Linked DNA regions of Oreochromis niloticus. The protein of the gene in region 1 interacts with the protein of each later gene in a pairwise test. Links are inferred from orthologs where the notes say so. Each region holds a gene or a part of one and is shown in the gene's direction. Other genes may lie near its edges. The genes, in order: drg1, rwdd1 and zc3h15.

Region 1 (10,254 bases):
TGACTATTTTGGAAGCCCAACCGTTTTAGAGAAGAGTAGTTATAGTTATATAATTTTCATGGGTTTTTTTTTTTTGTTTGTTTGTGTGTGTGTGTGTTTGTTTGTTTTTCTTTTCTTGTTGTTGTTTTTAATAGCCTGTTATGAGATGGCTGATGCATCAGAAGAGCATCATGTCAAGTCAGCAGGCACCTTTCCTGTCTCCTCAATTTCACAGACTAATGTACTCTGGTCTGCATGAAAACGAAAACTGTCCAAATAAAATTCACCCTTCTAGATCAGTTTACGGCAGATACTGTGCTCCCATAATGTTCCTCTGACCTTATTTTGAAGGATGGTGAAGGTTTCTCTGGGTGAGACACCATTGCAGACAAGATGGATAAAATGGCAGTATCATAAAGCATTTACTTTGAGTTTGTAAAATCTGAACTGTTGATTCAGCTCAAGAAGCCGGAGCAGGAACGTCTCACCGTGCAGTATTACGACAGCGTTCAGCCTGACACATAAACTGAAACATTGGTGCACTCACCACCCTGTCATATTATGCAGGTTCTGTACAGGCTGATCTCGTGTGTGGCGTAAGGTGTATACACTCACTGGACATTTTATTAGATACACCTTGCTAATACCGGGGTGGACCCTTTTTTGCCTTCATAACTGCATTAAGTCTTCGTGATACAGATTGGAAACATTCTCCTGAGAGATTTTGATCCATATTGATATGACAGCATCACACAGTTGCAAATTTGTTGGCTGCACATAATGGAAATCTCACATCCCACTACATCCCAAAGGTGCTCTATTGGATTAGGTTGTGGTGACTGTGGAGGGCATTTGAGAACAATTTTGATGATTTGACAGGCATGACGTGGTGCACTATCCTGCTGAAAGCAACCATTAGCAGATGGGCACACTATGGTCATAAAGGGCATAAAGAGATGGACAAGATCCGCAGCAACATTCAGTTAGGCTCTGGCATTTAAATGCTTATTTGGTACTAAGGGGCCAAAATGTATCAAGAAAATATCCCCGACACCATTACAAGTAAATTGTAGCTCCGTTTCCTGTTCTTAGCTGACAGAAGTGGCACCTAGTGTGGTCTTCTGCTGTAGCCCATCAATATACTGTTCATTCAGAGATGCTTTTCTGCATACCTTAGCTGTAACGAGGAGTTGTTTGACTTCCCGTTGCCATCCTATCAACTCAAAGCAGTCTGGCCATTCTCCTCTGACCTCTAGCACCACCTTTCTTTCACATTCTGATATTGACTTTGAACTTTGGCAGGTCATCTTCACCATGTTAGACGTGCCATGAGATTGGCTGATTAGAAGTTTGCATTAACAAGCAGTGGAGCAGGTGTACCTAACAAAGTGGCCATTGAGTGTATCCGTGTCATTACTGCACTCAGTCATGAACATTTTTGTTGTTATTTAAGAGAAATAGGAAATCCTAAAATACCTTGAATTTGATAGTGACTTTTTTCTTCCTTTTATCTTGGTTTAATAATCAAATATTGTGCAATACAGTGAAAAAATCCTGTAACATCTGAAACTGTGAGCTTTATTGAGCTGACTCAGACTGTGGAAGCATCATATTAGCTGAACTTTTATTGCACTTTTACACAGCATAGCGCCTTTGATGTTCATTCACGATTGCTGACATTGAAATTGCAGGCAGAATGTGAGTATTGTTTTCAGACAGACGTACAAATAGATATACATCCATTTATTATTTTAAAGTCATTCTTTACTTTGACTTTGATGTGTTTGAACAGTGAATCTTTAGCACTCGTAGCCTCTTGTAACCAGTTTTCTTTCTTCTCTTTTCAGAACTATCAGTGCATCTTGAAGTGATAAAAATGCATTTTCCCTATTTTATTTTTAATCTATAATAAATTTTCTGGTGGTCCATCAAAAGTAACATCGGTTTGAAAATGATATCAATAAGCGTGTTTTATCTCTCCTGTTCCAGACTCAGAACATCATGTATGACATGGTATCAGACCTGAATGAGAGAGGGGAGGACATGGAGAAAAGGATTGCCCTGCTGGAGACGAAGCTGGAGACTCTACTGAGTAACTTGCAAGCTTTGCCCGGACTCATCAGCCAGGTCATCAGCCAGCAGCACAGGGACTTCCTGGAGGTGCAGCTCCAGCCTTATGACAAACACAGCCCTGAGCGCTCACAGTCAGTGTCCCGACGGAGGTCGTCCTCCACGGCACCGCCCACCTCCTCGGAGAGCAGCTAGAGTCCAGGGGGAACGCCTCCACTGGAGACTTTTGCCATCATATGGCCAAGTTGCATTTATCGTAAAGCCTTATGGTTTCAATAAGTATTATCCAAATTCTGATGACAGAATCCAAGATACTGGGGACAATACATTTTAATGGATAACTTCATGCTGTTATTTATTTTTTATTACCTCAAAAGATGTTGTTATCCTTGCTCTGGTGACATAAAAATAATGGCGCTTCCCTCAGTAACAACTAAAAGGCCTATCGATGGGGCTATGATAAGAACTCTTCTCCATCTCTATGCACAGGTAGCCAGTTTTAGGTAGCAGGGTTACCAAGTGTGAAACTATTGCACTAAAATAGTGCTTCTCACAGACTTTGTGCTTCTGCTGGCTTGATTCAGTCTCTGTGTTCCTCAAAGGAAACCGAGAAACCACTGAGAAATCAGTCAGGGAGCATGGCAGTGATATTGAGGAAAAGTACTACGGTTTACGGACTGGAGTGAACTGACAGCAGAAGCCAGATGAAAATCGCTCCTACACACTGTCACTCAGAGATAACTTTAAAAGCTTGAAATGAGGAAAACAGCATATATCTTTTAGGTTAGAAACAGCATCAACTATAGTGGTTTTCCTTTGCAGAGTGCCCCTGTAGAATGACTATTTTTGGGGGGCCACGTTGCAAATAATTTAATCCTCTAGTAAAAATGAATGCATCAGAACCTGTACTTGCACTTACTTTTTAATCAATGCACTTCAATGCTGACTAAGATATGATATAAAGATACGTTGCTCATTAAAAGAAGAACATTTTAAATGTTCGGGCATGGGTTTATTATTGTCAATTATCGAGTTGTGGCTAGTGTTAATGATTCAAATCAAAGCCCCCTTTCTGTTTCTCACAAAGAAGCATCATCTTAGACCTGCAGAGGTCTTTAGAAACTTACTGAGTGATCATATATTTACTAATTAACCCCCTGTCTCGCTGTGTCTCACCTCCCGTCTTTTTTTTTTCCTTTTGCCTGTGCTATTTATGCTTGCTGCCATCCCAGCTGGGCAACAACAAATGCTGAACAACAAAACCGTAACCATATCTACCTTTTAAAAAGTAAATGCCTATTTTTATATACTTTAATGAGGAGAAGCACACCTCTTAAAACTAAACAAACAACAACGTGGGATCGATTAAGAGGCAGATTCAGCGTAACTAGCACACGGTAAGGATATCTTGGACTGGAGTTAAGATACATAAAACTGTCTGTGAGACTCTTTTCTGAACATAATTAACAAATAGTGTGATTTAAAAACTGTGGTATTCTTCACACTCCATCTATCATTTACAGCATATGCTTTGGATGATACTGGTTGGATGAGCTGGAAGAGCAGGGCTGGTAAATGTGATTGGCATTTATTACACTTGGAAATGTTACGGTCCACAATTGATTTAACATATATTCTGATTTCATTCATATATCCACTTTGGTCATTAATGCACTCTAGCTACATATGAACTGTGAAATCTTCTGATGTGTCCAACATACCCTTTTATGCATTATTACTCAGTATACGACCATAATGGTTGTGTATTTTTAAAACAGCCATTCCAAGGTTCACAGAGCATCGCATGGGTCAGAGGAGATCCATCACAGGTTTTGTTCAACCAGCTCACTCATTAAACAATAAATCAATCAGACAGTTGACAAAACACAGATGTTCAGTCCACAAACTTTAGCAGCATAGAAACCAATGACAGACTATACTGTATGCGACTTAAACGATAAAGAATTAAACAATAAAAATATACAATTTCACTGGTCTCCATCCTTTTTGTGTGCATTTAAATGTGGGTTTGTATCTTATGTGCTTTTGTAGAAAGAATAACCAGTGTTGTAAACAATGTGGTCATCAGTATGTACACTCCAGGTAAAGTGCACCACAGACTTTATAAATCTTCTAAAGTAAAAGGTTCGCTATGACATAAATTAGATTATTTGATATAGCCAGAGTTGCCATTGTGTTGGCAAAAGTAAAGGGATAGTCCCTGAGTATATAACAAAGTTCTAAGATTTTTCTTATTTAGAAGCAGAATTGTAGAATTGATTATTTGTTAAAAGTTAACATGCAACAATTTTACAATTACACACCAGAAATCCAAATACAGTATCTAAACTTCTACCTGAATAAATGTAATTACTATTCAACAAATGTAATATTATATTAATCTTACCGAATCATCAGTTTGCAATACTTTGTGTGCATTCAGCTTTGACTTTATATGCAGTTATACGCTCACTGGATGCTTTGTTGGTACACCTTTTCAACAGCTCATAAATAACACAAAAACTCATGTATTAAATATGATACACATCACATGGCAGTCCATTTAGGCAGGTAGATATGGCCAAGACAACCTGCTGAAGTTCACACGGAGGATCAGAATTTGGAAGAAAGGTGATTTAAGTGACTTTGAACACGGCATGGTTGTTGGCGCCAGACGGGTTGATGGGTGAAATGAAACATGACACATGAAATATAAACATATTTCCATAATATCTGTTATGTTATTTATGAGTCCTTCCAATTCAGTTTAAAAATAATCATATTATATTGTCACAACAACTCCTGGATTACTCGATTATGCTCTGCCTGACTCTACTTAGATCTGCTGTGTTTGTGCCAGCAGAGACGTTTAAAAGTGCCCTCTGGTGGACAAACTATGCAGCATGAACACTGATAACATTACCACTCATAACATAACTCATAATATCAGCAGTGCCGATATATCGGTCGGTCTTCAGTATGATCACAGCGTGTCTATCTTCTGATGGCTGCTTTCAACGGGATTACACGTGATGTCACAAAGTCCACATCATCTCAAACTGATTGATAATGAGTTGACTGTACTCAAATGGCCTCCGGTGCCACCTGATCTCAATCCAGTAGAGCACCTTTGGGATGTGGCAGAATGGGGGATTCTCATAAAGGGTTGTGCAGCTGCAAAATCTGCAGCAACTGTGTGATCATGTCAACATGAACCAAAATCTCTGAGGAATGTTTCCGGCGTATCTTTTAATCTGTGTCACGAAGAATTAAGGCTGTTCTAAAGGCAAAGGGTATTCTCACCTCGTACCACTGAGGTGTACTCAATGAAGTGGCCCATGAGCTTATTTTTTCATCAAGATTTTCTTCTGTAGAGGTGTTTTTATTCATAACCCTAATTTAGGAGACGGTAATGTCGGTAATTTAGTTCATGTGTAGTTAAATGGTTTTGTTTTATAAAACTTCTAATATTTAACTTATGGATTATTTCATTAAAAACGCAAAAGAAATCAAAGCGCACTATCCTACCTGAGTAAATGTAGTCATGCAGTATTTTAGGTACAGGTGTATAACTTTTGCATGACAACAGTAACGCAGTCCGGTGGTACATTCTCAGCTAGAAACTGATTCAATCTGATGTTTTACAGCGTAAAACGGTTATTTAAATCAATTTAGAACGACGATGTCTCCTCACAACTCAGAAACATCCGAAACTTGATAAAAGTACAAGCCAATGCTCATCAGGCACACAGGCCTACATTAATTCTTAATAAAATATTGTGTTTAGTAGCTTAATTGTACCTTTTGATGCAAAGATTTTTTTCCTCGAAAAGCTATCTGGGATTTATCAAACAAGTTAACTAAACGTTTTTTTTTCTGATATCCAGTGAAGTGCAACCTTTCCAAATAAATAATGGAATTTTCCATTATCCATATAGCAGGCTATATGAAAGCTGGACTCAGGGGGCAGTATTTGTGTTTATATTTTTTAATTTGCAATTTTAGTTGTACTAAATTCCATGCTCCTGATTCGCAAATGAAGCATTTGCCCTTCTGGAAGCTCATGCTGCGTTTGCGTTTCTCTTTTTTGTCCCGTGAGCAACCTGTGAGTCAACGCGGGCTGTTATTGGTCAATGCACCGGGTATCATGCCCCGCTTCTGTCCGAGTTCTCGCGAGATTTCCCTCGAAAAACCGCACAACCGCGTTTGTGTGGCGTGCATGCTAAAGTACCCCAATAACTTTGCCAACTTCCATGTAAAACCTTTTTAGTTTCAACCGGTAACGTCAATTGTACACGGGGAACACCGTCACCATGAGTATACTTGCCAAAATAGCAGAAATTGAAAATGAGGTAAGATGGAAGCAGCGGGTGGGCTAACCCGCTGACAGTCACGTTTAAGCTTGCTACAAACTGTTAGCGTTAGCAACAATATTACAGCCGGGCTTTGTTTTACTCTCAATATTTCTAACTCAGTTTTTTCCCTTTTCACCACAAAGTCCCTATGAAGTTGCTTTACCCAATCAGTGAACTTGTGAATCCATTACTAATCATATAAGACAGTATAACGGATGTGCTAGTGCAGGTTGATGGTGGTAACAAGCTCGCCTTTACGCAACGTGTACACTTTAACTGTCCAATACAAGTTAATTTAAGACGGCAGTGCTGTCTTTTAATCCGCACGTATCCATATATTATGATCTTTGTATGGTGTGCCGTCTGTTGTATTGAGGAAGCCTCAAATTTGAACATGCGAGTTCATACCAGCAGGGGTACTTGCTTTAAATTAAACCGAATGTTTTAGATTTTTATGGAAACTTTACTGTATTGTCAGAGGCAGTAAAAGGAAACCCTCCAGGTTGCAGTGCAAAGAGTACTTGTTTCAGTGTCTTCTTTAAGGGTTGCCACAGCAGATCATTGCTTCCATCTGTCTTCTCTGTGGTCTTCCTCTTATCTTCCTGCCTGACAGATCCATCTTGAACATCCTTTCCTTTGTCAGCCATGTCTCTCACTTTACCAGCCATAATTCCTACATTTAACATCTTGCCTTCTATTTTGCTGCCTCCAAACATGCCTTCCCCCTACTATTCTTTCTCAGTCTTTGGCCATTAGCAGCCACCCTGCTGGTCAGTTGTACCGGTAGCAGTTCTCGTAAATCACTAATAACATTTCTAGCTAACATGTTTGATTTGGCAAAGACTTTACACCGGACGTCCTCCCTGTCACAACCTACCCATTTATCCCTAACTTGAGACCAGCACTAGGTGTACATTGTATTGTGCAGAGAAACACAGCTGTGTTGATCTTGGCCAGGACTTTTCCTGCATATTAAAAATGTTTCCTCCCACCTTAAATGCTTTAAACTGCATTATTTATCAAATGGACAGAAAAACTAAGGTTATTAAATAAAATGAATGAATATCTGTTAATTAATGTTAAAAAAAATGGATGGATGGATGGATGGATAAAGTAAAAACTGTACAACATGAAAGAATGGGAACAGGTTTATAGCGTTGTTACTGCACTGACATTACAGTAAATCCAGATGGGCAAAATTAAACTTTCAATTGTAAAGGATAAGTCTATTTTGTTTTAAGTTTCACCATGGGTGTACCTGAGTGCATTCAGTGAAAACTGCGTACTTAATGCTTTTTAGAAAGTTCTCACGCAGACTGATGTTATTGTTCACTGTAGATGGCCAGGACGCAGAAGAACAAGGCCACAGCTCACCACTTGGGTCTGCTCAAAGCACGTCTTGCCAAACTCAGAAGGGAACTCATCACACCTAAAGGAGGCAGCGGTGGTGGGACAGGAGAAGGTGAGATCAGGATACTTGTGTCCTAATGATGTTACCAAAGTTTTATTTTAAATATTTATTTATTTTTGCCCGGCAAAGAATTCTAATGCATATTTGATTTTTTTTTTTATGTATATATATATATGTCTCCTCCAACTTTTAGGTTTTGATGTAGCGAAAACCGGTGATGCTCGTGTTGGCTTTGTAGGCTTTCCTTCAGTAGGAAAGTCTACACTGCTAAGTAACCTTGCAGGTGTATACTCTGAGGTTGCTGCCTACGAGTTCACCACTCTAACAACAGTACCTGGAGTCATTCGGTATAAAGGTGCTAAAATTCAGGTACAAGAGTTTCTGCTTTCTTCAAAATCTCTAATAGTGTTCATGCTGTGGTAAGGTTTAAGTTATTTGCTTATATTTTTCTTTTCCTTACTACTTCCTTTTTCAGCTCCTGGATCTCCCGGGAATCATTGAGGGCGCCAAGGATGGAAAGGGCAGAGGCCGACAGGTCATCGCAGGTAATGATTTGATCACAGTGGAATCTGCTTAGAGGGAAATATAATGGCAGCACAACTAATAGTGCTACTGGAATTTAGTTTTCTCCCGTATATATTTATAGACAGATTAAATCATAAGATGTTGTATTTGTAGATTTTCAGTGAGACAATGATTCACATTGTTTATCTAAAGTTTGCTTAAAACACAACCGCTGGTGCTCTACAGATTGACTGTGGCCTTCGGCCTGGAGCTGATGTCATGCCCAGGCTTAACCTGGCATTTCAACCCTTAACTGCAACACCCTCCATCTGGCATGTCAGCAGCGATGGCCTGCCCACCACCTCCACACTTCCAACCCTACACCTCCCTTTTATACCAGAGCCCATAAGAGGCTCTTTCTGCTGCTTCCACAATCCTGCATACAGCTGTCTTCCGCTCATTTTCTGAAACTCTGAGTGTAGTGAGTGCCATTTACAGTGACTGTACTGGGATTCCACTTCTAGAGGAAACAGACATAGTTGCCACCCTTTCACTCTACACTCTTTGATAAAGTCTTGGTATTTTAAGCTCTTCCTTTCATGAGCCTCATCACTGCCTTCTTCCCATGGCACACTTATATCGTGTATGCACGCACATTTTGAAACTTTTCCACTTCATTACTGTTACATTTTCTCTGGCATCAAAAAGTGCAAGCCTGCTCAAAGATTTCTTTTGACCATTATGGGCAGGCAGTGAACCTCAACTTTATCCACTCACTGGACAATTTATTAGTTACACTTTCCTTGTACCAGGTTGTGGTACTTCCATTAGAACTGCGTTTGCTCTTTAGCTCTTTTGCACACATCTCTGTTTCAAATCTCCATATTTTGTCTCCCTTTCTGTCTTCATTTATTTATTTGTGCTATGTGTATTTATATGTTCTATTTCTATTGTATATATTAATCAGCATCTGTAGGTGAAAAACAAAGAAAGAATTTCATTGCACAGAGAAATGCCTTTTTCTCTTGTGACACATGACAATAAACACTTTGAATCTTGAATCTTCATTCTATGTAGCACAGATTCAACAAGGTGCTGGAAACATTCCTCAGATATTTACATGATAACGTGACACAGTTGCTGCAGATTTATCAGCTGCTGCTGACAGCTTAATGTCATGTTTACAAAATCTGTTTTAAGGTGATTTGTGACCTGGTGTGCTATCCTGCTGCAACAATACCTAGGTAGGCTGTGACATTTTAAATAATGCTCAGTGGTCTATGTAGATTTTCAGTCATACAGGTCATGGTAGTCTTAAGTGCTTGAAAAGAAGGTAACTAGATTTCTTTAGGTTTGTAAAGACATTTTTTGTACCTCATATGAGCTATCGAGGTCACCTGAGGCAAGGTGAGAGTGGGTGTTGAAATACTTGGGAAGGTTTCTCAAAATTGCATTGTAGGTGGCTGATAACTCGTGTCACACCCACCACCTCTGTTTGGTGACAGAAATTCACAGTGGATATAGATGGACTTCTTTACTCATCTCTCAAACCGTCTGTGTTCTTGGTCCAAAATGTGAACACTGGCATCCTCAAAAATGTGTTTTCTCCTTTAAGTTCATTTGTCTTGTTCTGTTGAGCTTTCCCTCCTGTATTGTGCCATGTGTTTATGGAGTGGTCATTTGGTTTCCATAAAAAGCACTCCTCACAGCGCACTCTGGATATTTTCCCTTTTTCAGACAATTCTCTGTAGATCCTGAAAGCTTTTTCTGAAATGTAGACCAGCTCGTCCTGCATCAAAAACCAAAGTCACTTAAATCGCCTTTTTACCCCCGTTCTGAAGCTCAAGTTTGAACTTCATCAAGTCGTCTTGACCCATATGACCTACCTGGCTATATGTCTAAATATTGCCTTGTGATTGGCTGATTACATATTTG
Region 2 (10,571 bases), on another chromosome or scaffold:
GTGGTGGAAAAGCAGTCTTGCAGTGCCTCTGAGGACCCTTCTGGCCACACCTGTACCTGCTTACGAACAGTGTTGGGTAAGTTACTTTAAATTAGTAACTTAGTTACATTACTAGTTACTTCTCTAAAAAAGTAACTCAGTTACTTCAAGTTACTCGTTACTTTCAAAGTAACTAGTTACTAGGGAAAGTAACTTTGGTTTTACTCAGAATTCTCTTGTTAATGTGTTGCTTCCGTAACTGGATACCCAGCCAGACTGTCAGTCTTCTAGCTTGCTTACTTGCCACGAGTGCACTGTGCCACCTACCAATAGAAAGGAAAAAATAATGTGCACATTTCCACGAGAGAAATCCCACGCCTGGACCGTCGTTGACCGCCGCCATGATTCTAGCCTGCTTTTTACATCCAACACAAAAACTGCAGTCGTGGTGCTTTTGATTGTACTCAGAACTTGGAAATTCTGCCTTCTGAATAGGAAGATGTAGGTAATATGTAGGTAACACCAGACTGCAGATGAGCTGCATACAGGGCTGGACTGGGACAAAAAAATCGTCCCGGGCATTTTGACTAGAGACCGGCCCACCATTATATTAAAAATCATAAAGCCTTTGAATGAAAATAAACACTGTTGTGACAGTGATGTACACTGTTCTGATCAATCTATCAATTGTTTGTTGTAAGACTCAGATAATTATTTTTTTTAAAGCGAGACATTTTAAATGAGAATAATAAAGAAAAGTATTTCCTTGTCCCCCCCTTTCCCTGTTAATGCCCTACCTGGACCCCTGGCAACACTTTGCTAGACCCGCCCTGCACAGTTACCAGCTGTCAGCTACGTAGAAAAGGATCCTGGTGTTATTTGTCTCTCAGAAACAGTTCATAACTTCCCTTCAACTCATTCATGTCACCTAAAGGTAAACCTGTTTCTCCATCACCTGTTCAGCTCTGATGATTCAGTAAGGACATCTCCTGGTTTCATCTGCATGTTTCCCTCTCACCAGATAACCAAACCGATATCATGACCAGCAGCTTTACAGCTGTGGCTCCAGCAAACATCAGCTGATACTAGAAATTAATATTAAATAAATTCTAACAACAGCTGATCAAGCTTAAACGTGCTGCTGTTGTTTAACGCGACATCCGCTGGTTTCCTCTTTCTGGCGCAAAGTGGGCGATAAATAAACAAGAGAGAAAAGCTGATCAGCTGATCACTGATCAGTTTCGTGATTGAAGTAGAAACGGGAGAGGAGAGAATGAGAGAAGAAGAGGCAGCTGTGCAGCTTCAGCTTTGTGTCTTTTTCATTGTAGCTGAAGTCCGGGACAAACTGTGTTCCTTTTCACCTCAATACGAAACGCGTAATATTTTCTCTGAATACCAGACGATTCTGTTTTTTACGGGACGGTTGGCAACTCTAATAATTAACCGTATGAACAAAATAAAGTTCAACATCAGTAACACATAGCACCCACACAGCTGTATAGAAACTCCGTCATGCTAGCTACCACGCAGTACGAAAATGTCAGCATACCGAAAATAAACTCCACCTAAACTTGGTTTATATCTGACTCAGATAGACTGCAGGTCATAACTTCTTACCTGAAGTTCAGTTCACCTGACACGCGGACCGGCGGCCGCTTCGGGTCTCTCCTCTTGCCTCCCTTTTCCTTCATCCACCTGCTGGCCTCCACCACTTGCTAATGTTATTGAATCTGTGGAAGCTCCGCGATATCCACCACACGGAGTAACGAGCCTATCTAAATCCCAGTAACGAGTAACGCGTTCCTGGTTTTGGCATAATAACTAGTTACCGTGCTCGTTACCACAATAATAACGTAGTTACTGTAACGCGTTACTTAATAACGCGTTAGTCCCAACACTGCTTACGAACTGGTTTGGTGACTTTGACCAGGGGCCTGTGGGAACCCATGGCACACCTAGGTTTCTGCCTGTAGTACTGACCCTTATGCAAAATAGGTGGAATTAAGACACAGTTCCAAAAGCAAACACAGCTGATCAGTGCTGAGAGTGGTCCTGTTGCTGAGGTTGGGGTGATCCTGTAATCTCTTACGAACTACCTCCAACGCTTCTATGACTGGGATGCAAGTGAAGACAGATGTAACATCTCTCTCTCACTGTACATGTACTGTTTATAAAATTAGGGAAACATAACCTGCACAAACAAAATAATTTGCAGGACAAATGTTTGACATCAATTTTGTTCGATTTGAAGAAGGTAGGGGGGCCAACTTCACTCACATGTGTTTATAAGATCTGGGAAACCTGCAGTCAGCTGAGACTGAAGAAGTCACTTGGATGAGTGACGAAACGTTTCTCCAACTGAAAATGTCCAGATGAACAGAATCAACCTTTTGGGATTTACTTACCTGGACGATTAAGCACGCATCAAGACGTTATTTTATTAAAATTTTTAAAATGATAGCAGCACAAACAAAAATTTTTGCAGCACAAACGTTTAACATCAATTTTGTTTGATTTGGGTAATGTGGGGGGGCTGGTTGACCTTTTGACTTTTACCTTTTCATTAATATCTTTAAAACAGAAGCAGCACAAACAACAATTTTAGCAGCACAAACGTAGCACAACTGATTGACACCCATTTTGTTTGATTTAATTAATGTGGGGGGGCTGGTTGACCTCTGATGACCTCTAGAAATTTTTATTAATATCTTTAAAATGATAGTAGCACAAACGAAAATTTTTGCAGCACAAACCAGCACGAATGTAGCACAAACGTTTAATACCACTTTTGTTGGATTTGAAGAAGGTGGGGGGGCCAACTTCACTCACATCTGCAGCGGTACTGCCGGCGGACAGACTCGACATTCCCAGCGAGCTGAGGAAGAAAAGACGGGGGTGTCGTGCTGGGAAGGAGCGCCGTCGCCCGAGAAGGAGACGTTATCGACCATCTCTTCCTTCTGTAATTATTGGAAACGTAAGATCTTTGCCCAATAAGATGGATGAGCTCACGTCGCTAACCTGGTCACAGAGGGAGTACCGGCAATGTAGCATCATGATGCTAACAGAGTCGTGGCTAACATCGCTAACTCCGGACACGAGCGTGACACTACCGGGATTCCAGCTGCTGCGAGCGGACAGGACGAGAGAGAGCGGTAAGAGGAAAGGAGGGGGACTGGCAGTGTTTGTGAATGACAGATGGTGTAACCCCGGGAACATCACTGTAAAAGAACAACTCTGCAGCAGAGACATTGAGCTGTTAGCCGTTAACATGCGTCCGTACTACCTGCCCCGGGAATTCTCGCATGTTATCGCGATAACAGCGTATGTCCCCCCCTCGGCCAACGCGGATGCAGCCTGTGACTCTCTCCACTCTGTGGTCAGCAGACTGCAAACACAATCTCCGAGAGCCCTTCTCATAATATCAGGGGACTTCAATCATGCCTCACTGGACTCCACACTGCCCACCTTCACCCAGTATGTGACCTGCCCAACCAGAGACAATAAAACAGTGGACTTACTGTATGCCAATGCTGAAGAGGCATACAGTTCATCAGCTCTCCCTCCCCTGGGCAGATCTGATCATAACCTGGTGCACCTCGTCCCTGTGTATGAGCCCTTAGTGCGCAGGGAGCCACCAGCCACCCGCACAGTGCAGAGATGGTCGGAGGAGAGCGAGGAGGCTCTTAAGGATTGTTTTGAGTCCACTGTGTGGGAGGTGATCTGTGACGACCACGGAGAGGACATCGACAGCCTTACTACATGCATTACTGACTATATTAATTTCTGTGTGGATAACACCGTACCTACCAGGACTGTACGGTGTTTCTCCAACAACAAACCCTGGATTACCCCAGAAATTAAAGCTGTCCTCAAGCAGAAGAGGAGGGCCTTCAAATCCAGAGACAAAGAGGAGTTGAAAAGGGTGCAGAGAAAGCTGAGGGGACTGATAAGGAATGGGAAGGACAGCTACAGGCAGAAGATGGAGAACCAGCTTCAGCAAAATAACGTTGGTGAAGTCTGGAGAGGCCTCAGAACCATCTCAGGCCACAAACATCAGAACTCTCTGCCTGGGAGGGATGTGAGGTGGGCAAATGAACTGAATCATTTCTTCAACAGATTTGATTCATCCATGAGGCAGTCTCCAACATCGGCTGCAGACTCACCCACCCCCACTGCTGCTGTTCCACCTCTGACACCTCAGACACTTCACACCTCCTCTACTCACCCTGCTCACTCCTCCCCACCCCCAACAACAGCATCCAATACACACTCAACACAAGGCTCCAGCCTGTCTCTCTCAACCACCCAGGTTAGGAGGGAACTGAGGAGGATTAAAGCCAAGAAGGCAGCGGGTCCAGATGGCATCAGCTCGAGGGTCGTCAGGTCCTGCGCAGACCAACTGTGTGGGGTGATGGAGCACCTCTTCAACCTGAGCCTGAGGCTGGGGAGAGTCCCACAGCTCTGGAAAACCTCCTGTGTTGTACCAGTGCCAAAGACTTCACGCCCCAAGGACCTCAACAGCTACAGGCCGGTGGCTCTGACATCCCACCTGATGAAGACCCTGGAGCGGCTGGTCCTGGCTCAGCTTCGGCGCCTTGTGAGCTCATCACTGGACCCACTTCAGTTTGCCTACCAGCCTGGCATTGGAGCGGATGATGCCGTCATTCACCTCCTACATCGTTCCCTCGCTCACCTGGAGACCGCTGGAAGCACTGTGAGAATCCTGTTCTTTGATTTCTCCAGTGCCTTCAACACTATTCTTCCCTCGGTTCTGAAGGACAAGCTGGAGAACTCTGGAGTGGACCATCACCTCACTACCTGGATTCTGGACTACCTCACCGACCGACCACAGTATGTGAGGACTCAGGGCTGTGTGTCGGACAGGGTCGTCTGCAGTACGGGGGCCCCACAGGGAACGGTTCTGGCTCCGTTCCTCTTCACCATCTACACTGCAGACTTCTCCCACAACTCCACCCAGTGCTTCCTGCAGAAGTTCTCTGATGACTCTGCAATAGTCGGCCTCATCACTGATGGGGACGACAAGGAGTACAGAGGACTGACTCAGGACTTTGTGGACTGGTGCCAGCTGAACTACCTCCAGATCAACGCCAGTAAAACCAAGGAGCTGGTGGTAGACTTCCGCAGGCACAAACATCCTCCACTGCAACCACTGAACATCCAAGGTATGGACATCGAGGCTGTGGACAGCTACAGGTACCTTGGTGTTCATCTGAACAACAAACTGGACTGGACTCATAACTCAGACGCCCTCTACAGGAAAGGGCAGAGCAGGCTGTACCTGCTGCGGAGACTCAGGTCGTTTGGAGTGGAGGGCCCACTCCTGAAGACCTTCTATGACTCTGTGGTGGCCTCAGCCATCTTTTATGGTGTGGTCTGCTGGGGCGGCAGCATCTCTGCTGGGGACAGGAAGAGACTGAACAGGCTGATCCGAAGGGCCAGCTCTGTTCTAGGATGCCCTCTGGACCCAGTGGAGGTGGTGAGTGACAGGAGAATGGTGGCTAAGCTGTCATCCCTGTTGGACAACATCTCCCACCCCATGCAGGAGACTGTGACAGCACTGAGCAGCTCCTTCAGTGGCTGCGGCACCCACGGTGTGGGACGGAGAGACTTCGCAGGTCTTTCCTCCCCACTGCTGTCAGACTCTACAACAAAGACTTTAACTGATCAAACACACACATCCACACATGTGCAATAACACTAATGTGCAATAATCTTTTTCTGGCATCGTTGTATTTTTACTCAGTTGTATATAGCAGTTGCATTCTATTTTTATCTTATTGTATATTTTATTCTATTTATTCTACTGTATATAGTATTTTATTTTATTCTATTCTGTACAGTTGTGTACAGTATTTTATTCTTATTGTATTCTAATTTTGCTATATAACTTTTGCACTGTCCACTTTCTGCTGTGACAAAACAAATTTCCCACGTGTGGGACTAATAAAGGTTATCTTATCTTATCTTATCTTATCTTATCTTATCTTATCACTTTTTGGCACCTGAGAAATCCTGTAGCCTTCCTGAAAAAGGACAAAACTGTCCACTGCCATTATGTGAAAAACGTCTGGGTGATAAAAATAAATAAATAAATACCAACAAAAGTGCAAAACAAGATTTGGTAATTTGACTGGTTCTTATATAGCTTATATAGATTCTTATATCTCAAAGTGCTTTGTACAACGTGCCTCATTCACCCATTCAGACAAACACTTTGGATACACCAATGGATGAATTGCAGATTGGTGGACTGAAGGTTCATGTGTTGAAGAGCAACTTGGAGTCAGTATGTTGCCCAAGGATACAGGAAAAGGGAGAACATCCCTGTTAGTAAAACGGTTCGTTTCCCTTATCTATTTATCTATTTGTTTGTTTTCCTCTAAATGATAATCGATAAACGAGCCGATTTTTTTTCTCATTCATAAAGAAAAATCGCAAACACACGGACGCAAGTTTTTCTCTTGTTCTTGCGTCGAGCGTGTGATCTACATAAGTCCAGAAGGTGGCGGTAATGTACGTTCAAAGCTGGTTTGCTAACCCCGCTAAACCCGAAAAGAAGAAGAAGAAGGAGAAGCGGCGGATCGTCGAGATAATCGATCGACTGTTTCAGCTGAGTACGCAGCACACAGCGAACGTATTGGTGATGATTTTACGAACTTCCAGATAACCTGTAGCTACACAAACATGACAGACTACGCCGAAGAGCAGCGGAATGAACTCGAAGCCATCGAGTCCATCTACCCAGACTCCTTTACAGGTCTGAATGGCACGTAACGTTAAGTAGGATTATAGCACGAAAGTAGCAGCTAGCTCATAGCTAGCAAGTACACGTTACTTAGCTTGCTGGTTTTGGTGCATGCTCAATGATCCAGGTAAGTAAATCCCAGAAGGTTGATTCTGTTCATCTGGACGTTTTCAGTGGGAGAAACGTTTCATCCAGGGGACTTGTTCGGTCTCAGCTGACGGCAGGTTTCCAACCTTAAATAGGACATTTGTACAATGACTGAAACTTTTCACGTGAAAAGAGAAAGACCATCTCTGAATCGAAGAGGGGGCCTAAGGGTACACCTGTCTCCATCTTACAATGCTGTGATTGCAGCCATTCCCCAACTCTCTGTGAATGGGACTCATGGTCAGTGATCAGTGGTTGTTGATCAATGGTCATGAGAATTTGCAGAACTGACCTCACAGCCCATTGTTATTCAGCGGTGCTAGTTTCAGTCATTGTACAAATGTACTGTTTATAAGATTGGAAGCCTGCAGTCAGCTGAGACTGAAGAAGTTGGATGAGTGACGAAATCTTTCTGCCACTGAAAACGTCCAGATGAAGAGCATCAACTTTTTGGGATTAGCTTGCTGGTGTTCTTGTATTTGTGAAAGGATACTCATATTAATGTTAAATACTAATACTATTTCTATTAGCACTCGGTAGCTGTTGGGAAAAGCAAACATTGTTATGCTTGCCTGAAGTCTTTATTGTTATTGGTATACAAATCTTTATTATTTCTAAATGTGAATACTGACAAAGAGAAGAGATTGGGTAACTAAGGCATATTTGAAGATTTTACCAATCAGTTATGAAATCATAGTAGTAGTGATGTTGCTAATGAGTGTGTACTTGCAGTGCTCTCAGAAGATCCCACCAGCTTCACCATCACGGTCACATCCGATGCCGGGGAGAACGGGGAAAGTAAGTAAACTGATGAATGTGGTTGGAAAACAGTGTTTTGGTAATAGCTAGCACTGCAGCTGTTATTATGTCGGGTGTTTTAAACTGAACTGCTCATTGGTTTCCAGGGCGCACTGTGGAACACTTTATTATATGTTATGTGTAGGTCGTGTCTTGTTATATCCTGTATGTTACCTAAATGTTGTGCATCTGCACTTTATTGTTGTCTATGTCTACGCATGGGACAGTGTGAAACGTAATTTCAATTCCTTTGTATGGCAAGTACATCTGAAGAAATTGACAAATAAAACTGACTTTGACTTTGACTTTATAGAATGTGTGTGTGTGTATATATATATATGCATGCGTACATTTATAGCATATATTTAAAAGCAACTTAACATTTGAAGTGGATCACGATAATAGGACAGTATTGTGAAACCTCTGGTGTGAAATCTATTAACACTGAGCCCATTCAGGACTACACTCTCACAGCAGTTGAAAGAACCAGGTCAGAAGGAACACTGGTCCCAGTGATACTGCTTTGCTTCTAAGGATGTTCCCCTGCATGGCCGCAAGATCAGTGGATCAGCTTTAACTGGCCTGTAACTGTTCACTTCTTCCTTTGCCTTCCTAGTTGATGTTTCCTGTGATGCTGTGGTTTTGGTGAGTAGGCTTGCCGAAGCATAGCCATTAATGCAGAGTCCTTTGGCCTCTTAATTGGGAGGAGCATCATCCATTTCAACACAACCAGAGACAGACACAGTTCCTCTGTCACCATCAAACTCTTGCTGTTGAAAGTAGGGCTGCCACAAACCATCATTTTGGTAGGCGAACTAGTCGCCGATTATTTTTGCGACTAGTCGACTATTAAATTAGCCGTTTATGATTTTGATAGTCGACTAATCGTGGCAGGCCTAGTTGAAAGATGAAAAAATTATTTAAATTTATTTGCAAAATAATTTTGAACTCACCAGAGAATTGAAAATATTAGTATTGCTGATGGAAGGAAATGATTATTTGGGGTTAATTTCAAGCTTTTCATCTGCTTCTGTCATGATGGTTCGTGTGCAGCCAGGTCACTTAACTCGCGCGTGGCTACCTCATGTTAACTGATTGGAAGTTTCGACCAATTCCATGTACATGCTGAAACAGGAATATTATACCATTAAAGACCTGGGTGACCTCGGCTTCTAAATGTAGATAAAACTTCGGTTATTGAAGTCAGCCCTATAACCAGTAATCAGATACTTAGTATTACCTTGGCCTCCAGTAACACTGTGATATTTCCTCTACTTTTAAGATTAGGCTTCAAACTTTTCCTTTCTGCTAAAGCATATAGTTAGGGCTGGACCAGGTGACCCTGAATCCTCCCTTAGTTACGCTGCAATAGGTGTAGGCTGCTGGTCGCTTCACATAAGCCCATAAAACTACTTGGATCAACTCAGCACAGTTTCCAGGGCTTTCTATTAGCACAGTACTTGGTACCAGCAGGTACTTTTTAGTACCTGCTCCGCTGGGATTCCAAGTGATCCAGACCGGTGCTAAATTGTGACATCGTCAGACTGCATGCCACCGATTGGCTGGTCAGTAGCGTCACTCGATGAATAATGAGAGCATCTTGTTCACGATAAAATCAAAACTGCCAGGAAACGGCTACAAAAACCGACGCCGGGGGGAGGGTGATGAAAAGCTCCCGACAGAGCAGCAGGTATATATTCACTTCAACATCCACCTTTGTTGTAGCGTTCGTGTCGCATATTAATTACCTCGCAGGACGAGCAGACACGTTGCTATGACGACAAGCACACCAGCAAGGTACTACTGGGTTGTAATGGAAAACCAGTTGAGTGGCGCTGATCCATAGCGAGTCAACCCAAGTGGGTACTAAGGGAAAAGGGGCCATAATGCACTGGGCAGTTCTTTTTAACTATGTCTTTATGCACTATTCATTAGTTAGTAGTAATCCAGATCTCTTCCACAGCGTGTCTTTGGCCCATCTTCTTCCTGTGGCAGATGGCCGCCGCTCCCTGAGCCTGGTTCTGCTGGAGGTTTCTTTTAACAGGAAGAAACCTCCAGCAGAACAGCTTTTCCTTCCCACTGTCACTGAGGCACTTGCTCATAGAGGGCCTGTGTCCCTGAAGGACCTGACACACGTTCACGTTCAGTGTTCTTTATTTGCTTCCACACTGTGTTTGTGTCTGTTTCACATTGCTTCAGCACATTGCAGTACTCCCAACTCCGACTGCTGCAGCCGCTCCTCCCTCCTCTCCGGCCCGGCCGCTACTGAAATAGTGAAGGGGAGGGTCTTAGTAACACAGCAAAGGCCACTTTAATGTACCCCACTCAGGGGCTCCAGGAACGCTGGGTAGACTGCATCGTTGATTGAGAAGCACGAATAACAGGACCCGTTACGTGACCAGAATGAAAGAAATCCTCCCGTCCACTAGTGAAAACCCCACTATGCAGGCACTAAGCTGGGGGGATACATGTGTATCCACCCTGTTTGACTTTACATGTAGTGAATAAAGAATAAATGAAAGTTTTATCTTTAGTTAAATAATAAAAAGAACTTTTTCATTTTGCACTCGTAAAGTTGTGGAACATGAACTGTCTGTTGTCTTTTTGCAGCTGTGGAAACAACTTTAAAGTTTACGTATGTAGACAAGTACCCAGACGAGCCCCCGCTGTGGGAAATCTATTCCCAGGAGAACTTGGAGGAGAGTGACACAGAAGATATCCTCACACTGTTACAACAGCAGGTCTGTCATTGGATTTATCTGGGCAGTCGTGGGTCTGGTGCTGGTTGAGGGCTAATTAGTGGCTTCTAGATCTTTCCAGATGCTTAGATGGAAGCCCAGTGCCTTGGATGACAGCTTCACTGCTGTGTGTCTACATTTGT
Region 3 (10,816 bases), on another chromosome or scaffold:
CCAAATTAATTATTTGGTTTATTTCAGTTGTTCTAAATTGAGCCATTTAGCTGATTGCAAATCTTAACTGAAACGCTCAGATCATTAACACGGAGTTCATTTCAACTCTAATCAAAATAGTTGGAGTTGAGCTGCATGCTTCTCACACAAGACGTGACTGGACTCCAGAAGAGCATCGCTTCCTTTATTTATTCCAAGTTTAAACAGTTTATGCGTGTAAATTATCCTCCATGTTGTTTTAATATAAACAAAAGAATATTAAAACGCAAGCATGCCTGCAAGGCTTCGACAAGCTGTGACTGGCAGCAGGTGAAATGTTCATCTGTATTGTTTTATTGGCAATAACAAGAGCCTCACTCATGGAACTGAAAGTGATTTACAGGTTTCATTTCAAGCTGCAATAAATTTGTCCTTACTGTCTGAATTTCATCTGTTAATATTTCAGAAACACAGTTTATTAAGTCCTTAACTTGTAACAATTCGCCGAGCAAACGTGACCCGACTCCTAACTATAATAGTGCTGAGCTTTACTGCCAGCAATCATCTGCTGGTAGGTGGAATATATATATATATATATATATTTTTTTTTTTTTTTTTTGCCAAGTGGCAGATATCTAATTTTGGAATGAAAGTCTTCATTTTTTATTTGAAGTCTAATTATCTCTGGGAGTTTGTAATCTCTGAACATTCTGCTATAATAATCTGAGTTTTTATTGTGTGACTTCTTCTCTTGATTTTTTATATTCTTTACAAAACAGTTGCTGAGTTGTGATATGAAAATATTAACTTTTTGTGAAGACATTTAGTTATCTGTTAAATAGGTTTAATCTATGAGATGATGTACAGTATTGAGTGGTGGCTGATTAAAACTAATCCCACATTATCCGTTCACATGTGTGAAACATTTTGTAATATCTACACACCCCGTTCATTTTCAGTGCATGCCGACGTTTTTTTCATTATTTAATCCCCATAAGGTGAATTGCGTCCAACTTCAGCAGCAGCTGGAGTTTGCCCTGTTGTGGGTGTTAAATTTCCATTTCTTCCAAGTCACATCTCACCCCCGTTTTGGCTAAACATTTGATGGGAGATGAGAAGAAAGGGCTAATATCTGCGCTCATATTATTTTTAAAAATGACGACAAAACGAAATTATTTAAATTTCACATGAAGCTGTCTTTTTTAAGGGATTAACAAATTGCTTAACATAGATCTTTCCTGCAGTGATGGAACCAAATGATGTCTTGAATGTGAGTGCAAATAACTCTTGCAGGTGCCCTAAGTTTTGATGGTTATGTATGAACTTCCTGCACAGAGGCAGTGCTGAAACAAACCTTGTTACTACACCCTCTGAAGCATTATTATTATGTCATCATTCTAATGATGTGTGTAATGTGTGACCAGTAAGTGGTAATGTTATCCAGAAGGATTTAAACCTCAAATGCAGAACACTGAAAAAGTTTAGTAGTTTTAATGAGCAATTCTCTGAGCAACAACAGCGGGGAATACTTGCAGGTAAACAGTGAAACAGATTAGGTAAGTAATCTTTCTGGTAAGTTGATCATTCGCAAGCTGCAGGGGACTTGGACAAGTTTCTAAATAAGCAGGTAAGTATACTTTAGGCAGGGGGCAAACACTGTTACTGCAGTTTTCCTCTCTTTCCTCAGGCTAAGGTTTCCAATATTTGAGTCCTCAGAGTAGAGATGTTACAGCAGCAAGGGCAGTGAGAGCAGGTGAGGCACGCTCTCCAGCAGGTTCCCTGAGAAAAAGGAGGAGGTGGGCAGGCAAGTACAAGGTCCATGAGGATACAAACAAGCAGGTAAGCAAGCAGAGTAATAAACCACCTGAGCCATGCTAAAGCATGCATAGGTTTAAAATCTGGCAACAGGTGGTGGTGGAAGCCAGCTTTAAACACTGGTGTGCCTGCCCCAGGTTTTCTGACACCATGCTCAGCACTGAAAGAGACTGGTTAACTCAAAGCCCCCAGTCACACAGACAGGAGAGACAAAGAGAGACAGGCAGGTGCCACACCTGGAAGACTGTGACAGTAAGACAGTATTTTTTGTTCATGTGTAATTGAGGATATTGTAGCATTTACTTAAAGACCTACAAAGACATCAAATTAAGTTTGAGGATGAAGTTTAAACTTCTAAAGTTAAACTTTTCTTGAGATGTTTCTCAGGTGGTGGATTTCAAGCTCAGCTCCAAATCCTAAACACGATCATTTTCATTTTGTGAGCACTTTAATGACTTCTTATCTGATTTCTTTCAGTTTTTTCCAGATCATGTGCTATGGTTTAAAGCCGGGAACACTACTCTGTCTAATGCTTTGACTTTCCCCATCAATGTTCTCACTCATTCATTCATGTTTCCAGTTATCAGGCAGTAAACCCCCACCTTCCAATCTTCCGTGAACGACTGAGTGCGGTTCAATTCAATATTTATTGTCCCCTGAGATGAATATGGTTTGCAGATGGAGTTAACAATAAAATAATGAAATAGGAATACACAATAAAAAGGCACAGAAGGAATGCAATAAAATGTAGGAACGAGTAAAATCACAAAAACAACCAACAGTTTTATGCCACACAGGCAAGCATGAGATGATAAAACCCTGCAGGGAGTCAATAGCCAAAATACTGAAAACCTAAAACTGGTGCTTCTGCTAAAATGAATTGGTGGTAGCACTTATGACTGACAGTAATAGGTTTACAAACAACTTTATCCAATTGTGAGAAGAAGCCTGAGTATTTTTCCAGCAGTGAGTGAATAATGGGACAGCTAGTTAGAGAAAAATCCTGCTGAAAATAGTTTAACATGTTTTAAAAATAGCTACTGGTAAATATCTCAAATGTTTCGAGCCCATCTTCTTGTTTGGTGTTCTGTTTTTCCATAGATCACTCCAGATATTTCCAGTGTAGCTACACTGATATTGAAACTTAAAAGCATTGGAGTCCCACATTCTTCAGTTATCTGAAACATCAACAGTAAGCTAAACATCCTGTTTTGGTGTCAGTCCCTTGGGATTAGCGAGCAAAGCGCTCCTTTCTAGACTCTTCATTTTGCACCGACTTTCAACTCTCACACGGTGAGAAAGAAATCCACCACGAGAGCAGGAATACACAGCAATCTCTCCACCGACAGTAGCCTCAAGGGACCGGAGTACAATGCATGCAGCAGACGAGTTGTGTTATCAGTAAAAGGATATGATTCTCTCCTTTTCCCAGATAAAAAAAAGCACCGTCTCTCGCTATCACTCCTGCTACTGCTATTGGTTATTACCTGAACACAGAGCATAAAGCTAAATACAACAAGTTCACATCTGTTCTCTTGGGACTGTCAGAAATGTAAGAAACCATCTTATGAAGTAAATGTAGACAAGGCAGGTTGAGGGGAATGTGCTTTACACCAAAAAGAAAAAAAAAGAGAGGAACTTTAGCACTGAATAAGTCCTGGGTTGCAGGGAGCACCGCGGGATGATGGTATCTCAGCAGTGTGCAGAGAAAAAAGCCGTGAGGTGATGGGTGGTCAAGGTCTTTATGCAGCAGGACACTTTTCCCCAATCTACAGTGGAGTTACATGTTTTTGCTTTTGGAGCAGGAGGTTGCCTGGGTGGGCCTGGCTGGAGATTATCGTTCCTGCCCTTTTCTTCGCCCCTGGTGTCGTGCAGCACCTTGATGGGGAGCAGCTGACAGCCGATGACCTGCTCAGCAAGTTAGCGGTACAGACAAGGTGCTGCAGTTTGTCCTTGGAAGCAGGAGGAGGCCGAGGCAGCCTGAATACCAGGATGCTTTTGATTATTGCCTCAAAAAAATGAGACAGTTACAGGTTGCGCAGTGTCAAGTTTTCTCAGCTACCACGGGAAGAAGATCGACTGTTGTGCTTTCTTAATTAGGCCAGAGATGTTTTCTTTCCATCTGCAGTCATCTCTGGATTCAAGTGCATTCGAGTGTGTGCTTCAGCGTGAGTGTGTGTGTGTATGTGTGTGTGCGTGACATGATGCCCTCTGCAGAAAGGATCGATGTTTGTATGAATATGAAGAGGGAGGTTATAGGGAAAATGCTCTTCTAGCAGATATAGTGATTTATTATACTCCACTCAGAGAGACAAAGACATTCAGAGAAAAAGAAAAAGGAGGAGCAAGAGAAAGAAACACACAGGGAAAGTTTGCTTGAGGCAATATTACCAGCCTCTGTTGTCTTAAAATCTAGCCTTCAGCCATGCAGTCAGCAGTAGTGTCAATATAGGTTATTGTATGCACACACTCGCGCACACATAGACGCACACATATTTGCAAGGTGGAAAAGCGCCATGCATGATAAGTGTGTTAGAAATAAAAAGTCTCTGCATTGGATAAAATAAAATAAAGTTGCAGCAGAGCATGCGAGCAGAGAGAAATGTCTGGTAACACATGGCTTGATAACACATTTTCAGCCAAGGATGCTGTTACTAGAGTTAATTCATTGTCTCACTCTGGGACTCATTAAAGTGCACAACTAGTACTGCCATTATGAGAGCACCCAAACTGAGTAAATGTTGTCCCTTACCCTTGAAAACCAGGACTCATTAAAAGACATGAGCGCAAATGAGAGCCCAAAAGGAGCAGGCGTGTGTGACCCATTTTGGCTCTTGTCTGTGCCTCGGTTTCCTGTGCGACACATACACACATTTGCACACACACACGTTGTGAACAGTGAAGTGGCCGATGAACCGAGGCACGATGTGGATGAAGGCCACACATTTCAAATGTGCCAAACGAAATCACATTAGTAACTTAAGTGAAATCTAATTAAATCAAGTTGAATCAGCAGCTGAAGCGGTAAAACCCCTGCTGGTTAGTTCTCCACCTCGCAGCGATGACACGTCTCGTGCGTCTGGTTACAAAGGGGGGCTTTTTTTCCTTTTCTTCTTCAAACGCACCCAACTGTAGCTTTGTTCCTGCTCTTTCTCTTCTTTTTGTGCTTCCTATAATTTTCCTCATAGCAAACCACAGAGGTTTTGCAGATAGGGGCTGATCCATTACTCAGCCAGTAAAAGTCATACCAAAGTTGAAATTAATTGACTAGTGGTCTAATCAAACTGTGAAAAAAAAGAGTAAAATGCTAATAAAACAGTCTTATTTTCACTGGCCAGATGGTGGCTCTCTAATAACCTTTTTTATCTACTGCCTATGATAGAAATACACATCTCCTTTCTGCTGATTTCTCAGTACCTGTGTAATCAAATGCTCCAAAGTCATTCAACCAAACTCCAATTTAGGCATGTGGTCCTTCTCAAGTCTCATGAGTTGAGCCACTTCTTGATCTTTTGGTTGTTGTTTGAGGCAGCAACAATACTTGTAACACTGCAGATCTGTTTTCCTCATTATTCAGTTAGTTTTCCAAAACACAAAGTTCGTGCTCTCAAATAATTCTGGGCTCTCTAACAATATATGTCTGAATTTTGTTTACACTTGACCGTTAAATGAGTGAGGTCCTCTTTTCTTAACTTCTTGAAGCTTCTTGCTTCAGCTGACATATATTGCAATACTGACACCAGATGGTTAAATCTTATAACTGCAATCAAATGACTTCAAACCCGGTATCATAGTCTGCAGTATATGCACACTGAAACTTGTGAGTAGGAGCCAGATGCAGACACCCAGGCCCTGAGCCTGTTCTTGTTTCTGATGGTGAGACACGGCTGAAATTAACTGCATAAGATGACGAGACACAGGAAGTGAAACCAAAGGTAAAGCATGAGTAACAGCAAACTCACAAAATAAAGCAGGAGGTGAAAAGAAAACATACTGGGAAAATAAAGACTTAATACAAATTGATACAAAAGAAATGACAGAAGAGCACTGAGGACAAGCAACTAGTTTGTGAACACTGTGTGAACTTTGCTTTGGATGGTTCACCCCAGGTATTTAAATTCTACCTTCACTACATCTGCTCTCTGCAGCTTCACTGTTACACCTGTCTCCCTGTCATCCACACACATCTTTTACAGACTTTCAGTCCTCTTCTCTCCAGAGCATAACTCCCCCTCTCCAGACTCTCTTCAACCTGCTACCTAATCTCACTATAGATCACAGTGTTGTCTCCAAACATTGCAGTCCATGGACACTCCTGCCTGACCTCAACTGTAAACCTGTCCATGATCACTGCAAACAAGAATGGGCTCAGAGCTGATCCCTAAATTAATCCTACCCGCACCTTAAACACATCTTACCATCTCACCATGTCTTCATACATGTCCTGCACCGCCACCGTAATGATCTTAAGAAGAAGAATAAAGAGAAAGAAGAGCCTTATGTTTGACACCCCTGAACTAGACGTGTTTTGCAATTTCCTTAGGGATTACATAATTTCCTTAGGGATTAATAAAGTATTCTGGTTCAGATTTTTCTCCAGACTACAGTACCCATCCTGCCTCTCGGGGTGCGTGTTGACGTCACAGAACATCAACAACTCACATGTGGCCTAGAAGGCGCTGTTGCGGTGCTAGCAACAACCGGGTAATGTGGAGCTGACTTCCCTGCAAAATCACCAATAATAAAGATATTGAACAGCTTCACGCATTTTGTTCACAGCTATACCTGAGCCAGCATGCCTCCGAAGAAACCCGCCCAGCCCGGGGGAAATAAAAAAACTCAGGAGAAGAAAAAGGAAAAGATTATTGAGGTAAAAGTTACACGAGTTAGCGTGTCGTTGATTAACCCTAGCTGATAAGCTAGCATACGGCTAACCGAGGCTATCGCAAGTGCTGACAGGTGAATCGTAAAGTTGTTCTGGCCTCTGGGCAGTTGTCAGTGCTTTCTAATTGTTTGGTCCATATTTCGAAGTAGTTAGTAGTATTCTACTAAAGGCCTCTTCGGGTATAGTTTAACCTAAAGCTAGCTGACTGTCTCGATGAAGGCGTGTAGCTAACTGATAAAGCTAAGCTGCTATCAGGGCCGTGCCGCCGCATCAGCAAGTGCCCACAGTTATTGCTTTAAGGTTAATATCCCCTGTTGAAGACTCATGTAAGAATTAGAAACATTATGGCAAGGCTTATGTGGTGTTTTATGAGGTTTTCTTCATGGTTTTAAACACAAACGAGCACGAAGGCGCAGAGTGAAAGGCCTGTTTTCTGACCGGCCTCAGGACTGCTCAGGAAACACATTTGAGTCTGTTTCAGTGATGTAAACAGGCTAAAATGAGTAATTTCAAGCTCAGTTTGTGTGTATTTAATTTTTTCCGTACACAACACCTAATATTATCAGCGTCTTCCGGTCGCTTACACGTTTTCTGTTGTGGTTAAGTTTAGCAGCGGGAATTTCAAGTAAATTTTGAAAGGGGCGCAGCTTGTGCTCGAAGTTTTTAACATGCAACTTCATCATTCAGTTTCCTTAACACCAGACAAGCAACTCTTGCTTTCAGTTGCAAAGTTTTTAATTTTACAACAGAAAATGGTGTTGAGCCAGGCTGTAGGTGTGACTTTTGTTGTTGGTAAAATAACTATTTAAACACAGATGAGCCACACACTGCACCCTTGGTTCAGTACCACCTGTTAAAATCAAAGCCTACTGTTATGGTGGATGATAAATTGGGCCTATGGGTTTTTAATAAAGAATGAACGTGAACTAAATAAAGATGAAACTTGGGATGAGTGCTGCAGGCAAGGTAGTGCAATTATAAAACATTTAGACACAGAGCGATACAGTGCCGCAGAAGGGCAACCATAGCCTTCAGTTCTAATGGCTGTGAAAATTACCCTGAATAATGATGTTTAGTGAGCTAATTTTTATCATAGCTGTATGTCAGATCTTGAACAAGTGTGTCAGTATTTGTTGAATTAGACATGCATTTATGATCTGTTCCTTGTCGAAAGTCTAACTTTTCACAGACTTGGTCTGCTGAGACAAATTTTGGTTTCTCTGAAATCACTGACCACTGGCCTCATGTTGCTGTTAGTAGAACCAAAGAGAACTGATGCCTCATCATTATTCTAAAGGATCTATGCAATAAAAGCAAACTTTTGGTTATGCTTTGCATAATGAGCCTACCAAAGACTGAACCAAGACTACAATCTCGGTTTTGGTTGTGTGATAATTTTTGCTGTGATATGTACAAAAATAATCAATTCACTCATTCTTTAAGCAATCTTGAAACTTTAGAGTTTTCACCTGACTAGCACACTTCAACTAGGTATGGTAGTTCTGCAGTGGATGGAAGATGGAACCATGGCCTGATATTGCAGATGTGTCAAGTGGATTTCACTGTACTCCTTGTTGTAGTGATGTAACACTTACTCAGGCTTTGTGTTTGGAATTGTATTATAAAAGTGACAATTAATAAAGATGTGTTTGGGCTTTTGTGTTTGTTTGTTTGTTTTGTTTTTTGTTTTTTTGTAGGATAAGACATTTGGCTTAAAGAACAAAAAAGGGGCCAAGCAGCAGAAGTACATCAAGAATGTTACTCAGCAAGTCAAATATGGACAACAAAGTGCCAGACAGGTTAGCGAACTGTTCTTGCCTTCTGTATTTCTTTCTGCCTTCATCCTTGTGTATCTTCTTAATCCTTAAGCCAAACATTCTTCTCTTACTTTTGCTCCCCGTACTTGCTGTCTTCCTTAAATCTTTTGTAAGTAAGATAATCTTTAAATGTGGCTGAATTTGTCGTGTTTAGATTGCCCAGGCTGAGGCAGAAAAGACCACCAAGAAGAGTGATAAGAAGAAAGAGCTGGATGAACTCAATGAACTTTTTAAACCCGTAGTTGCTGCTCAGAAAGTCAGCAAAGGTAACACACAGCGTGTGACACACACAGGAGATGAATCATTTGATGTGTTAAATTTGATAAGAAAAGATGATTGATCTTTTTTCTCTCTTTATTTCCTGCAGGTGTTGATCCAAAGTCAGTGCTGTGTGCGTTCTTTAAGCAGGGTCAGTGTACTAAAGGAGACAAGTGCAAGTTCAGCCATGATCTATCCATGGAGAGGAAATGTGAAAAGAGAAGCGTCTATGTGGACGAAAGAGATGAAGACCTGGAGAAAGGTTGGTAGACATCACAGTTAACTTGTACATATTGAAAGGGTGTCTATTGCTGCGTGATGTCAACATCTGCATCATGATTTCTCAGGAAATCTAATGTTATCATTTTCTATTATTCAGATAAATTAAGAAGACAACCATCTGCTAAAAATGTAAACAGCTTGATTTGATATTTAGTTATGATTACATGGGACTTAAGCCTACCTTATGGCAGCTTTGTTTATTTTTCCTGAGTAAAATAGTCAATGTTTTTCCCCTGTAATGCAAATAGCCCTCATTCTGAGTAAATTTCAACTACTGATATCTGGACTTAAAATTCAGTGATGAACACTTAATTAAATTAACCAGGCCTTTGCCTTATCTCCTTTATTGACTTTACCTGGACGGGTGGTCCATCATGCCTACCATGTTTTTTTTTCTTTGAAAATTAACTGAAATTTCTGCTACGTCTTACTGTCTTAGAGCCCCATTCTTGTACAAAAAAGGCCAATGTGAGCTATTTTATGAGCTACAGGAGAGGGTGTTGGGCACTTCAGTGATTTGAATTCATACCCCATGCTGAAAGACTGTGATGTGCTGCTTTCAGACACTATGGAGAACTGGGATGAGAAGAAACTAGAGGAAGTCGTCAACAAAAAACACGGAGAAGCTGAGAAGAAGAAAGCCAAAACACAAATCGTAAGTCTGTTGTTATGAAAAACAATTAGTGAATGAAGACAAGGACCTAGATATTTGCTGGTCGTCTGTGTTTTCATCAGGTGGTTTAATGAGAGTGTGGGAAACAGACTTGTTTATGTGGTAAGGTGAAATGCAGGGAGTTCAGGATGTTTGATGGATAAAGAATAAGCAGAGAAAACCAAATCTAAGAAAAAAATGTGCTTTTTTCCACTCGGTTTGTTCCCAAGAGTCTTTTGGCTCCAAACAAAATTCGTCAAAGACAGTCCCACTAACAGTTCAGTCAACTAATACCAATAATAATACAAGATTTTGTCTGCTTTACTGTTGCTAACTCACAATTGTTTGTCTGCAGGTGTGTAAGTACTTCTTGGAGGCCATAGAAAACAATAAGTATGGCTGGTTCTGGGTGTGTCCCGCAGGGGGCGACAATTGTATGTACCGGCATGCTCTGCCTCCCGGTTTTGTACTGAAAAAAGACAAGAAGAAGGAGGAGACAGAGGAAGAGCTCTCGTTGGAGGAACTTATAGAGAGTGAGGTAAGGATAACTACAACAGTGTGCTTTAGGGAACCTTTGAGGTGAGTAACAGCAGCACAGAGTTCAACTATTGAATGAGATGGACTGGAAGGTGTAAAAGTGAGGTTGCTGTCTTTGGTATTGCTGATGTGCAAACCATTTTTACCATAGACAACTTTGCACTTTTCTCCCTTATCTTCAAAAGGCTGGCTCAGCCTGGTGTGGAGATTCATGTACCAAACCAAACAGAAACTGTGAAACTTTTTTTTTTTTTTTTTAAACTCAATTTTTATTATACTTTACAACATTGCAACTCGTACTTGGCAATGTTCACAAGTAGGACAGTTACAGGAACCGCAATGCAGAAATACAGATTACAGTAACAGCTGCAATTAGGAAACACAAAACAAAACTGGGAAGCAAAACAAAACCCAAGCAAACAAACAACAAAAGCAATAAAAATAAAACAAAAAGTTTATGTAATATTAAATAACATTTGACAATCTTAGCCAAAAATGAACAAAATGAACCAGACCTATGCTAAATTACTGAAACAGTAAAGCATGTATGGGTCGCCAACGCTCAGTAAACAATTCTCTCTGAATCCGCAG

The links.
Region 2: the proteins of drg1 (region 1) and rwdd1 interact in binary tests that used the Homo sapiens proteins (3 or more experiments, as listed by UniProt). The two-hybrid records come from large-scale screens. The link is inferred for Oreochromis niloticus from reciprocal best matches to the Homo sapiens genes DRG1 and RWDD1.
Region 3: the proteins of drg1 (region 1) and zc3h15 interact in binary tests that used the Homo sapiens proteins (3 or more experiments, as listed by UniProt). The two-hybrid records come from large-scale screens. The link is inferred for Oreochromis niloticus from reciprocal best matches to the Homo sapiens genes DRG1 and ZC3H15.

What each region holds. Positions count from the first base shown.
Region 1 is NC_031972.2:23,049,581-23,059,834, reverse strand, and holds the start of drg1 (developmentally-regulated GTP-binding protein 1), read left to right. Parts: upstream 1-6,206; 5' UTR 6,207-6,362; coding exon 6,363-6,401; intron 6,402-7,742; coding exon 7,743-7,866; intron 7,867-8,008; coding exon 8,009-8,184; intron 8,185-8,290; coding exon 8,291-8,360; intron 8,361-10,254. Other genes in the region: kcnn2 (small conductance calcium-activated potassium channel protein 2), read left to right, coding at 1,969-2,244. UniProt on the Homo sapiens protein: Catalyzes the conversion of GTP to GDP through hydrolysis of the gamma-phosphate bond in GTP. Appears to have an intrinsic GTPase activity that is stimulated by ZC3H15/DFRP1 binding likely by increasing the affinity for the potassium ions.
Region 2 is NC_031976.2:1,255,055-1,265,625, forward strand, and holds the start of rwdd1 (RWD domain-containing protein 1), read left to right. Parts: upstream 1-6,549; 5' UTR 6,550-6,684; coding exon 6,685-6,757; intron 6,758-7,624; coding exon 7,625-7,690; intron 7,691-10,300; coding exon 10,301-10,431; intron 10,432-10,571. UniProt on the Homo sapiens protein: Protects DRG2 from proteolytic degradation.
Region 3 is NC_031978.2:5,555,756-5,566,571, forward strand, and holds the start of zc3h15 (zinc finger CCCH domain-containing protein 15), read left to right. Parts: upstream 1-6,400; 5' UTR 6,401-6,498; intron 6,499-6,573; 5' UTR 6,574-6,589; coding exon 6,590-6,664; intron 6,665-8,376; coding exon 8,377-8,478; intron 8,479-8,650; coding exon 8,651-8,762; intron 8,763-8,863; coding exon 8,864-9,016; intron 9,017-9,599; coding exon 9,600-9,691; intron 9,692-10,043; coding exon 10,044-10,226; intron 10,227-10,816. UniProt on the Homo sapiens protein: Protects DRG1 from proteolytic degradation. Stimulates DRG1 GTPase activity likely by increasing the affinity for the potassium ions.